Cricetulus griseus: one gene and its partner. The protein of the gene in region 1 purifies or fractionates together with the protein of each later gene. This does not show direct contact. Links are inferred from orthologs where the notes say so. Each region holds a gene or a part of one and is shown on either strand. Other genes may lie near its edges.

Region 1 (5,683 bases):
GATTCTATGGCCAGGATGACCATAATGCTGGTACCCAAACTCAAGGAGAATCAGCCACCACTAGTTACCAAGGAGCAATCTAGAAAAGATCACTGAAGATAGAGCACAAGTCCTGGAGGAGGGATCCTGGTTGCCAGGATCCATTACATACTGTCCAATTTGGGATAAACTTCCGTAGTGATTCTCTTTTCATAGTTAAAGCTTCCTTGTTAGAAAGGGCATATTCAGGGCAAGTGAGAGGGCTCAGTGAGTAAAGACACTTGTGGCTGAACCTGATAACCTGAGTTTGATCCCCAGAACCCATACTAAAGGAGAGAACCAATCTCATAAATTTGTCATCTGACCTCTTCTGACCTCCACATGTATGTTGTAGCATTCCTCCCCCTTACAAACAAATAAAAGAAAAAAGTAATTTAAAAGGGTACATTCACTGTGACACCAAGGAAAGCTAGGTGGGGACCCAGCAGCCTTTTCCAATTCTTAGTGTAATACTCTATAACAGACACCTTCTTATAACCCATCACATCTTACCATAGCGTCTCACCTGCAATCTCAGCTGTCTGGCCTGCTGCCTCTGAGACTTCAGTGCTGCCAAGGACAGGAGCAGGGGTAGTTAGCTGGGGACTGCATGGACGAGAGGTTTCTTGGGGTTGAGATAAGGCAGGCTTGGGCAGAGGTGGAGGGGTAGAAACAGCAGGTGGGCTCTGGAGCAGATCCTCAGGGGGAGGGACAGGCACAGCCACAGGTGGTGAACTCCATGCCTCCTTGTTCACTAGCAGCACCTCGATGGGGCCACTCATGCTCTTTAAGTGAATCTGGTACTTCTTTTGACCATTGAGACCCTGGAGGTGGGGGGGCAGAAGATGGGGGACAAGTAGAATTGCAAGCAGGCATGGCTCCTGCCTGACTCTGGGTGAGAGCCAGACTGTCATCCCATTCCTCATCTGCCAGTCCACTAGATAACCCCAAACTCCAGGCCTCCCCCTACCTGCCCCACCCAGAACTTATCAAGCTCCACAGCCAGTATCCACCCTTAGCTGGCACCGCCTTCCAGGGTTGAGCACCTACCTCTGGGATGGGCACCTCTAGGCTGGTGCCCGATGGGGCCCTGATGGCAAGCAGGGTGTCTCCTAGAATGACAAGGAGAATGCATCAGGGCCCAAGAGCTCAATCTGAGCTAGGAAAGGAAGTGTCTGTTCACTGGGGCAAGACAAAAGACCACAGTCTCTAAAAAACTGAATATTAAGCCTCTACCATCCCAAAGCAGTAGGCAGAGCTAAAACTCTCCACCCCAAAAAAACTTATGCTCAGTAACCAGAAAATCCAGTGCAAGCACACTTTCTTTTTCTTCCTTTGAGACAGGGTCTTTTTTGTTTGTTTGTTCAAGACAGAGTTTCTTCATGTAATAGCTCTGGCTGTTCTGGAACTTGCAGTGTAGACCAGGCTGGCCTCAAACTCAGAGATCTGCCCTTCTCTGCCTCCCAAGTGCAGGGATTAAAGTATAGTCACATTCTGGAGTGATGTCACTGGCCATGGGCACCTCACTCCTCAAATGGGGTTGATCCCTAGAAACAGACCTAACCAAGTTTTCCCAAGACCAAGATACAAGATGAAATATAAGAAGTAACAGCTCCTATATACACAGATCAGAAATGGACACCACTGACCCCGAATACAAGTATGTAAGATTGTGCACAAACACACATTCTCCTTTTTCCTCTGTGCCTATATCATGTCTAAGAACCAAACCCAGAAACCTAGGGACACAGTGGGACCCTTGTACCCTCAGTATTGTTGGTCTCTACAGAGTTCCAGTGACTTTCAAACTGAGACTCTGCCTGGTTCTCGCTAAGCAGAGATGGAAACTCTCCTTGAACCTGATGGACACTTAGGGCTCTGTGGTTTAGTTCAGCTCCCACTCCTGCCCCCCTACCCAGGCTCTGCTTACCGGCAAAGCACCTGCAGATGTCTTCATGAGTCACATAGGCCAAGGTGTGGGGGTTAAGGAGAACAGCTGATGCCTTTCTTACTGTGCCAGATGGCAGACCACAGAAGACCCCATGTTTTAGCAGATGTCTGACACACAAGCCCTCAGAGGAATTTCTGGAACCTGGGGTCCAAGTGGGTAAGGATCATGGGCTAAGATTGGAAGAGAAGGGAGCCTCAACTCTGAATCTGACCAGGGGATCATCCTCCCAAAAGGGACAGGGCCCTGAGCGCCACAGAGCAAAACCAGCTGAGGACCCTTTGTCCACTCCCCAGGACAGGGGCTGCCAGAGGATATCAGCTGTTCTGGACGTCCTCTGTGACATTCCGGATGCTCTGCTGCACCCACACCTTGTGCTGGTCAAGTTCTTGCTCCCGCTGCTGCAGCTCCTCGATCTCTGCCTTGAGCTCAATCAGCTTGTCGGCAATCTCCCGGGTATTGCAACCCGGCCCCACACCCCTGAGCCAGAGGAATGAGAAACTGAGAGGGACTGCTGAGAACTGTGGGTCCCATACCTCTGCTCTCTCCTACACACCCGACACTCCTGCCCTCCCTGACACCCCTACTCACTTCCACTGGATGCTGTTCTTGGACTTTTTCTCGATCAGACCAATACCTTCCAACACGTTGGTGATGTCGTAAATCCGCCGTTTCTGACGCACAGCTAGAGTGTCGGCTGCCTGGCAAGTAGAAGAGAATGGAGAATGCTACCCCACTCTTAAGTGTGCACCCTGATACCGTCAGTCTGGAATGGGGGTAGTCTTGTGTCCCATCCCAGGGGTTCCTTGCAGTCACTCCAGCAGTGTGTTGGGAAGAGTCTTGTGTTCTGATATTCTAATGCTCGTTTCCCTGTGCTAGCCACGAGGGCCAGCACCTGCAGCCCCGACTCAGACACAGAGCTCACGCTCTGTGGCTTGAGTGAATGGAAACAGCCTCCCGCCTCTCTCGTGTGAGAAAGCACACAGATGGGGGCCGGCTGTTGGAGGATAGTTCCACTGGGATAGCCCCAGTGGTTCCCGCTACTGGTTCAGGCCTCGTCCACCATCTCCCCTGTCGCCCCTCAGCCCGGGCCGCACCAGCTTGAGGTCAAGCACACCGTCCTTGGCTTCCTGCAGAAGCGACACGAACTTGGTGGTGAGAAGTCCCAGGCTTTTCTCGTGCCTGCTTGGAGTGCCCGGGGGCGGCGGCGCCTGTGGCCCGGCCTCCGCCATCGCGCCCGCCCGCCCGCCCGCCTCCCCTTAGCCAGGCCAGGCCAGGCCGGCCGCGGCGCCACTTCCGCTTCCTGTCTTAGTCGCCGGGCCACCGGCGCTATCACCTCTACTTCCGCTTCCGTCTCATGCCCTCCCAGGGTATCTGGTGCAATTCCTGTTTGAAGATCTGGACGTAAAATTTTGGGGACCATCAGCAAATGTACCTTTAGCAAAGAAGACTAAAGCAATTCCTAGGACAGCTAGCTAGTAGACCTGACAAGTTGTATAGAAGGAAGAGGGGTAGGGTTGTCAGTGAGCAGTCCTGGAGGTAGAGAAGAGGGAAAGAACCACCCGAATCTTCCTTGTTAACTTGCCTCCAAACTACTAACTGCCCGAATCCCCCATCTAGGCAATGGAAGCCATCCAGCCTGATAAGCTTAGCCTATTAAATTAAAACTGCTCCTAAAGGCTTCCTTAGTGTTTTGAGATCACCCATGCCTTCTTTACTTCTTGCCAAAACCATCAAGCACAACTATATCTAGCTTGCCCACTTCTTCCGTCTCTACTCCTCTTTTAGTTCCAGCATCATTTTCCTCTGGTCTCCATGCTACTACATACAGTTCACAGAAGCCAGGAGACTTTTTTACAACCACTTCTCAATCCATGCAAAGGTATTTGTCTATGTGTGAATAGAAGCAACACCTTTAAGACAGCTCCTGACATAGGAAGACCTGTGTGTTTGCAAGTGTCACTTACTTTTTAAAGGTTTTATTTATTTTTATTATCTGTATATGTGTGTGTCTGTCTGTGTGTGCTTTTGTGCACATGTGTGCAGGTGCTCAGGGTGTTTTGGAAGAGGGTGTCAGATCTCCAGGAGCTGGAGTTAACAGGCAATTATGAGCTGCCATGTAGGTGCTGGGAATTGAACCTTGGTCCTCTGCAAGAGCAGAGCTCTGCCCTTAACTTCTGAGCCATCTCACCAGCTGCAAGTCTTTTTACTTTTAACATTGTTATCACTTATTGTTACTTGTTTCTTTTGGTCAGTTCCTCTAGAAAACAAACTCCCTTCAGCAAGTCTATTGAGGATTCATACTTGTAAGAGAGTAAAACAAGCAGAATTGGCAAGACCTAGTTATAAGAGAGCCCATGGTGCTAGCTCTGAAATTGGGATAGTCTTTCTGAGGTGTTTGTGCTCAGCAAGGGTACTTACTTGGGCCTTTGTACATCAAAACCGACTTAGAACTTTAGCCGCAACCCCTCAACAACCTGTACTTCTGGCAGCTAGGAAATGAGTCTCTATTCTGTGGATGGATTTGTGTGGTGCACCAAGTGGCTACTGTACTATTCTCATCAAATGTTGTTCATCACTCCCTGTCAGTTTCAGGAACAATATAACTTTTACGATCCCTGACTGCCCCTCCTCCCACTACACTCTCTCCTCACAACAGGTGCTCATTCCTCCACAGAAGTTCATACCCTTTTCTTCGGGGGCCCATCAGTGGTTCTCATACTGTCATGTTGTTTGCAGCCACATCAACACGTGGGAGGGTCATTTTTCAAACCAGTTTGAGGCCAAATCAGCTTGATATGTGCATATGTGTTTCTTGAGCACATAGAAGTCCCAGGTGGGCTGGTCAAGACTTGATCTCGGGGAGTTCATGCCTGCCCCCACCCCACAGGAAGTGGCTCCCAGCTCTCCCCACCTCATTGCAGATGCTTTTCCTGTTGGGAATAAAGTGCCAGAGACTCGACTTCCTTCCTTTCTGCCTTGGAAAAGGAGGGGCCTTGGAGAGAAGAAGGGGCTTCTGGGCTAGGAAGAAAGGCTTCCTTGGGGAGAGGAATTTGGCTGCTGGTGCCAGAGGAGCTGGAGTCACTCAGGTCCTGTGAACAGTGAGGGTGTGCCCAGCTCTGCAGGAGCAAGAAGGCCATTCTCAAGGCCAAGGCTGTTTGTGGAGGAGGGAGAACTGGACACCGGTCAGATCTGGTAAGTTCTGTACCAAATTTCCTGGGCGTTACAGAACAGAAAAGGGACTTTGCAGCTAGCGTGTTAGGACTATTTGGATACTCTGACACTTGATATCTGCAGAGGCACAACGCAGGACCCCAGAAAGCCAAGAACTCCCAGGTATCCCCCTTCTACCATACCTTCCTTTCTCTTATTTCCTAAAGGGGCTAGGCAAGAACCTCGCTCCTCTTTCTCAGAGGGGCCAAAGGAACATTCACTCTGCCTGATCTACTCCAGGCACTCACCTCATTCCTACCACATATCTCCAGCTCCTAAGGCAGACCATGGACTCAGCAGCCAAGGACAAAATACAGCCCACACTTCTTCCTGGTATGAGTCTTGCTAGCTGGGCTGGGGGAAGGATGATGGCAAGAAAAATGGAAGTAGTGGTGGGGTTGGGTTTTCCTGCTAGGTCTGACCAGAACTCTATCGGAGAGTGAGGAGTGGGCTATCCTGCTGATTGACTGAGGAAACAGAAGGGCATCAGGTTTGTTAGCCACA
Region 2 (5,761 bases), on another chromosome or scaffold:
GTGCTCGGTACCACAGGGTCACCACCTGGGAAGCAAGAGGACAAGGTCACATACCTCAATTCAACAAAACCCTGCTGCCCTCCACCCTCTCTTTTTAAGATGGATCTTATTATGGTTTTTTACTTTAATAATGTGTATACATGCATTGTGTATACCACAACTGTGCAGTGTCCTCAGGGCCAGAAGAAAGTGTCTGATCCCTTGGAGCTGGAGTTAAGGGTGATGGTGAACTGCCTGACACAGTTTACCTGAAAGAGCATCATATGCTCCTCACTGTTGAGCCTTCTCTCCATCCCCAGTTGAGTATCCCAAAACCCCCAGATTTGGGACGTTCCTGGAAAATCTGAGTCATTTAAATGGTATGCCAATCAACCTTCCTGGCTTGTATCAAAGGCCAGGTAATCTCATAGTATGAATTCAGTGCATATCCTAAGACCCTTTGGTTAAGGGCTAGACAGAGGATCAGAAGTTAAGAGTGCTTGTTGCTTTTGCAGAGGATCCAGGTTCAATTCCCAGCATCTATATGAAAGCTCACAACAGTCTGTAACTACATTTCCAGGGGATCAGACACCTTCTTCTGACCTCTGTGAGCACCAGGCAGGCATGCAATACAGACATACATGCACTTTACTCAGACACTTTAAATAAATAGGTAAAGACCCTTGGGTTGAGCCGGGTGTTTGTGGCCACGCCTTTAATCCCAGCACTTGGGAGGCAGAGGCAGGCGGATCTCTGTGAGTTCGAGGCCAGCCTGGTCTCCAGAGCAAGTGTCAGGATAGGCTCCAAAGCTACACAGAGAAACCCTGTCTCAAAAAACCAAAAAAAAAAAAAAAAAAAGACCCTTGGGTTGTCAGAGATTCTATTTACCAAGGAACTCCTGCCCTGGTATGAACATCTCCCTAAGATTCTTAAAGAAGAAAAATCATAGGGGGACCTACCTCATGAGTATAAGTACGAACAGGGACTCCAAAGGCTCTTGCTAGTCCAAAGTCTGCCAACTTGATGGACCCCTCTGCATTGATAAGCAGATTCTGGGGCTTAAGGTCTCGGTGCAGGACCCGGTGAGAATGGCAGAATGCTAGGCCCTGGAGCAGCTGGAACAAATAGCTCTGACAAAGGAGAGAGGAAGGTTTGTTCAGTCACCACCGTTAACAGATACAACTTGCTCTTTGCCCTCAAAATGCAGTAAAGCCTTAATCATGTGAGATGATAACTCCATTACGTATTTTTGGGGGATTTTGTTTAATTCTTTAGATTGCATATTTATTTATTTATTTATTTATTTACTTATTACTTATTTATGGGGGGGCATGGCACTGTGCAAACGAGGAAATCAGGACAACTTGCAGGAATTGGTTTTCTTGTACTATGTGGGACCTGGGGATGGAGTTCAGGTCATCAGGTCATCAGATTTGGAGGCAGGTGCCTTTACCTGCTGGGCTATCTTGTCAGCCCTGTTTGTTTTTTATGATAGTGCCTTCCTGGCCTGGAACTGTAGGATAGGCTTACAAGTGTAGCCTAGGCTGTCTTTTTTTTTTTTTTTTTTTTTTTTTTGGTTTTTCAAGACAGGGTTTCTCTGTGGCTTTGGAGGCTGTCTTGGAACTAGCTCTTTTAGACCAGGCTGGTCTCAAACTCACAGAGATCCACCTGCCTCTGCCTCCTGAGTGCTGGGATTAAAGGCGCCGCCAACGCCCGGCCAGGGTGTCCTTGTACTTACAGACATCCTCCTGCCTCAGCCTCCTGAGTGTTAGGATTACAATCATGAGCCAACACACCTTACAACACAACCACACATTTAATAGCTACTTCTTTCATTGTATTTTTCAGCCTGTCAAGGATAAAGACCAGATATTACTTAATTTTTGCATCCCTTTCAATACCCTGTGCCTAGCACATGCCTGTGTTAAATAACTGTGTCAAATATGTAACTGCTGATATTCATTAACTCCAGGAGTGAATACAGTTCTGGTTGTCTCCCACATCACAGGTGGAACTTTTTTTTTTTTTTGAGGAACCCACCAACTACCCTCAATCCCATTTTCTGAGTGGTATCTGATCTGCCTGAGCTGTCTAGGTGGCTCGCAGGACCTTGGTTATGATTCTTCGGTCCTTCCTATGGCTAATGACTATAATGAACAGGAAGAGACCAACAGACACAAATAAAAGGGGTCGGGGAGTGTTGAAGCCTGAGAAACAAGCCAAAATATAACCAGTCTGAATTACCTGCCTCTAATTTCCCCAAGATACCTGAGCTGGAATTGAGGAAGGTTACCTTGATGAGGGGAAGAGGAATGCCAGTGACAGCAGAGGCATCCATAAATTTCTTGAGGTCCTGGTGCAGAAATTCAAAAACCAAGTAAAGCTTATTTTCCGTGTGGATGACATCTAGCAGCCTGCAAGAGAAGGTTCAGGAAATGCAGTTGAGGGAGAGAAATTCTAAGGCTAAAACAAACAGAATTCACCTTGGTGGTCATCTCTCAGACTACACTTACTTGACAATATTAGGGTGATTAAGTTCCTTAAGCAGAGAGATCTCTCGGATGGCAGTACTGGGCACACCTTCAGTTTCACTTGGAGAGGTTGGAAAAACACAGATGAGAATATGGTTACAAACATACTCTCTTAGGGAGACACCACCCCCCAAAACTCCCTTAGGAAGTCAGAAAGGAAAGGTACTGTCAGTAGTTATTCCTGGGTAATTGGGGTGTGGCTTTTAGACATATTCAAGGTCATTATTTCCTCTTTTTCCAGTGGAAGGTAAGTAGAGCCTCCAGGTGAATGAGAAGCAGAGGAAAGGTAATAGGGGAGGGGGGTGAGAGTAGCTCCCAGCCTCCCCAGAGGGCCAGTGAGTCTCAACTGCCATTCTTTTGAAAGAGGGTGAGGGTTCTAAGTATGGGGCTGGAGCAGGGGGGACAGCTCTCCATTCAGAAAGGAATTATTCTCCTGGTTCGTACATAACCCAACTCTATGAACACTCCTGGACCCTACCTCACCCCCCCCATCCCCCCCACTTTCTCTTCCCAAGTCTCCCGGCTTGCAGATTTGGGAGCTCACCGGGTGGAGCACGAGAAGAAAGTTTTCTCTGAATTCTAGCCCTCGGACAGTCACCGAGAGAGAGCGTCTACCGTCCGCCAACCCACCCCTCACTTCAGGAGTCCCTCCCGCTACCTTCCGGTCCGGTCCGGGACGGCTACCCGCCTGTTGGGGTAGGGGGTTGGGGGGGGGCAGCCAAGAGGTCCCGGGGAAGGAGTTCCGGCTCCGGAGGCCACTCACGTGTCGAGCCGGATTTTCTTAAGCGCCACCACTTCTCCCGTCAACTTGTTTTTGGCTTTGTACACCACTCCGTACGTGCCCTCTCCGATCTTCTCCACCTTTTGGAAGTTCTCCATGGAGCACTAGTGCGGCGGCTCAGGCCCCCGGGAGCGGGGCCCGGGAACCCTGAAGAAAGCGGGCCCAACACTCGGGGCGGAGGACCTGGGGGCCAAGGTGAGCACCGCAGCCCCAGCTCTGGATGGAACGCAAGCAAAGCTCAGCCCTTGACAATTTATCCAACTTGAAACAATGTTGCCGCCTCCCCCACCGCTCCAGACGGCCAGCCGAGGCCCCGCCCCTCCTTCCCGCGTTTCCCTGGCTCCGCCTCCCACCCTTGGGATTGGTCAACGTCACGAGGGCGGGCCGGGCTCCGCGCTCCCGCCGCCGAGTCCCCGCCCTGGGCGGGTGAGCCGAGTGGCCGCAGCGCAACTTTCCCGCAGTTCCTGGTTTGGGCTCCGGCGGCCGGAACTGGTGTTGTCTGTGGTCTAAGGGTTTCCTTACTTTCCGCTCACAATTTTCACCATCCCTTAAGTGAAATTAAATTCTAGCTGGCCAGGAGAGCCTCCTTTGGAAAGCAGAAACCTGGGAAATCATATATATATACATATCATATATATATATATATAATATATATATATATATATATATATATATATATCAGTTATGTGTGTGTCTGTGTGTGTTTTTTTCACAGAAGCAGCAGATCGTCTGGAGCTGAAGTTATAGGCAGTTGTGAGCTGACGCTGAAGCCCAGCTCTGATCTTCTGCAAGAGCTACATAGGCTCTTAACTCCTGAGCGGTCTCTCCAGCACTCCCACCCCCTTTTTGAGACAGTATCTCATATTGCAGCCTGGCCGGCTGCAATGCGTTAAAAATAAAATAAAAATTGAGGTTGACTTCGAACTCGCAGAGATCGTCTGGCACTTCCTCCGTGTACTATCGTAAGAGGCACAAGATCAGGGCTCTTACTGTAAAGGATTCTTAGGCTAGATAACAAAGTCCTTTCTCAGCCTAGCTTAATCCTGTCTCACTGTTTTAGTGGTTCATTGGTTGGTTTTGTTGCTTCATTGCTGGGAATGTACACTCTGCCTCTTCGGACAGCTTTTAGATAAAGGTGTTTGTATCTGTCTTGAGGGTTGCTTGCTTTGACTCAATTCATGGCTTCCCTCTCTTGCTGAAATGGCTGTGAAGTACAGTACGTGAGTTGTGGCTGCCCATCAGTCAACTCTTTTCAGAATGAAAGTGTGTGTCAGGGTGAATGTGACCCCAGTGAAGCCGGAAGCTGTCATTGAGCGGTGGGCTGAGAAAAGGAACGTCCAGACCCTGAAATCAGTTCTGGTCCTTCTTCCCAGGTTTCCCCTTCTCTAGAGCATGGGAGGAAGGGCTATGCAAATGAGCATCCCTTCCTATATAGGGGCTCATTCCCACCCCTGGCACCTTCGGCTGCTGAAAGGAAGAGCAGGATGGATGTGCCAAGGAGGTGCCCTCTCCCTCTGTTTGTACTGAGTGCTTTGCTGGCTGTGGGGGCCGTAGAAGGTGAGTGCGCCTGTGTCATCAGGAGCAAGTGTCATTAGCAGTTGAACACCTGCTCGGGGATTCCCCCTTCTAACCAGACTTGTAGGAATATCTCAAGTCCTATTTGATTTGATTTCGTGAGGATAAAGTTTTGTTTGCCTTCATTTGTTCAAGATGAGGGTGGCCTTGAACTCCTAATCCTCGTGCTTCTATCTCCTAAGCACTGGGATTCCTGACATAAACCGTCGTGCCCAGATTTATGTGTGAAATTTAGGATTGAGAAGTATTCCTATCTGACTCAAGGGGCAGAAGGCACAACAGTAATTCTGAGACCTCCTCAGACAGAGAGCTGAAACAGGGCTCCCAAGGAGGTAAAATAAATGGGTAAAATGGATTAGGTGATATCTGAAGTACTTATGATAGGAGAATTAAAGTGGAGAGAGAGAATATGCTATTCAGGAAGACCAAGCTGATACCACCTTCTGTACTTGGGGTGGATATGGGTGTATATAGCCCAGGCCTTACATTCTGGGTCTGGGAGAGAGAAGCAGAAGGGTCTCAGCTGAGCATCACATGAAAGGACTCTGGGGGATTGAGGCCTCGTGACAGGAGCAAGGGGAGGGAGTGAAGGGTGGCGAGAGGGTCTGGAATGTCCCGTGCTGCAGGGGAGGGAGGGTGGGCAGTTAAAAAAGAATGGTGCATCTCATGACTGCTCCTGCTTCGGTGGACAAACACTCTCTGAGTTGACCACAGACCAACCCCCAACAGAATCTGGCTTCCCTGTGGACATTAGAATTGGGATAAGGACAGTTTCTGCTGTACTACAATACATACATCATATCACAGCCTCTTTTTCTCTCTTTGAATCCCTGGTCTCACAAACTTCCTTACTCTGGCTTCTTCATTTGTACTGCATTTTCCAGGGGTTTTGTTT

What was found. Proteins that work in one complex are often made in the same cells at the same time.
Region 2: the proteins of E2f4 (region 1) and Cdk2 purify together in Homo sapiens (affinity purification with mass spectrometry; 4 studies listed by BioGRID and IntAct, with this or other methods). This does not show direct contact. The link is inferred for Cricetulus griseus from reciprocal best matches to the Homo sapiens genes E2F4 and CDK2.

The regions. Positions count from the first base shown.
Region 1 is NC_048596.1:181,583,844-181,589,526, reverse strand, and holds the start of E2f4 (transcription factor E2F4), read right to left. Parts: upstream 3,236-5,683; 5' UTR 3,199-3,235; coding exon 3,064-3,198; intron 2,668-3,063; coding exon 2,558-2,667; intron 2,468-2,557; coding exon 2,285-2,467; intron 1,993-2,284; coding exon 1,949-1,992; intron 1,131-1,948; coding exon 1,069-1,130; intron 843-1,068; coding exon 545-842; intron 1-544. Other genes in the region: exocyst complex component 3-like protein, read left to right, coding at 5,467-5,512. UniProt on the Homo sapiens protein: Transcription activator that binds DNA cooperatively with DP proteins through the E2 recognition site, 5'-TTTC[CG]CGC-3' found in the promoter region of a number of genes whose products are involved in cell cycle regulation or in DNA replication.
Region 2 is NW_023276806.1:129,198,301-129,204,061, reverse strand, and holds the start of Cdk2 (cyclin-dependent kinase 2), read right to left. Parts: upstream 3,390-5,761; coding exon 3,274-3,389; intron 2,571-3,273; coding exon 2,493-2,570; intron 2,394-2,492; coding exon 2,273-2,393; intron 1,110-2,272; coding exon 939-1,109; intron 26-938; coding exon 1-25. UniProt on the Homo sapiens protein: Serine/threonine-protein kinase involved in the control of the cell cycle; essential for meiosis, but dispensable for mitosis. Phosphorylates CABLES1, CTNNB1, CDK2AP2, ERCC6, NBN, USP37, p53/TP53, NPM1, CDK7, RB1, BRCA2, MYC, NPAT, EZH2.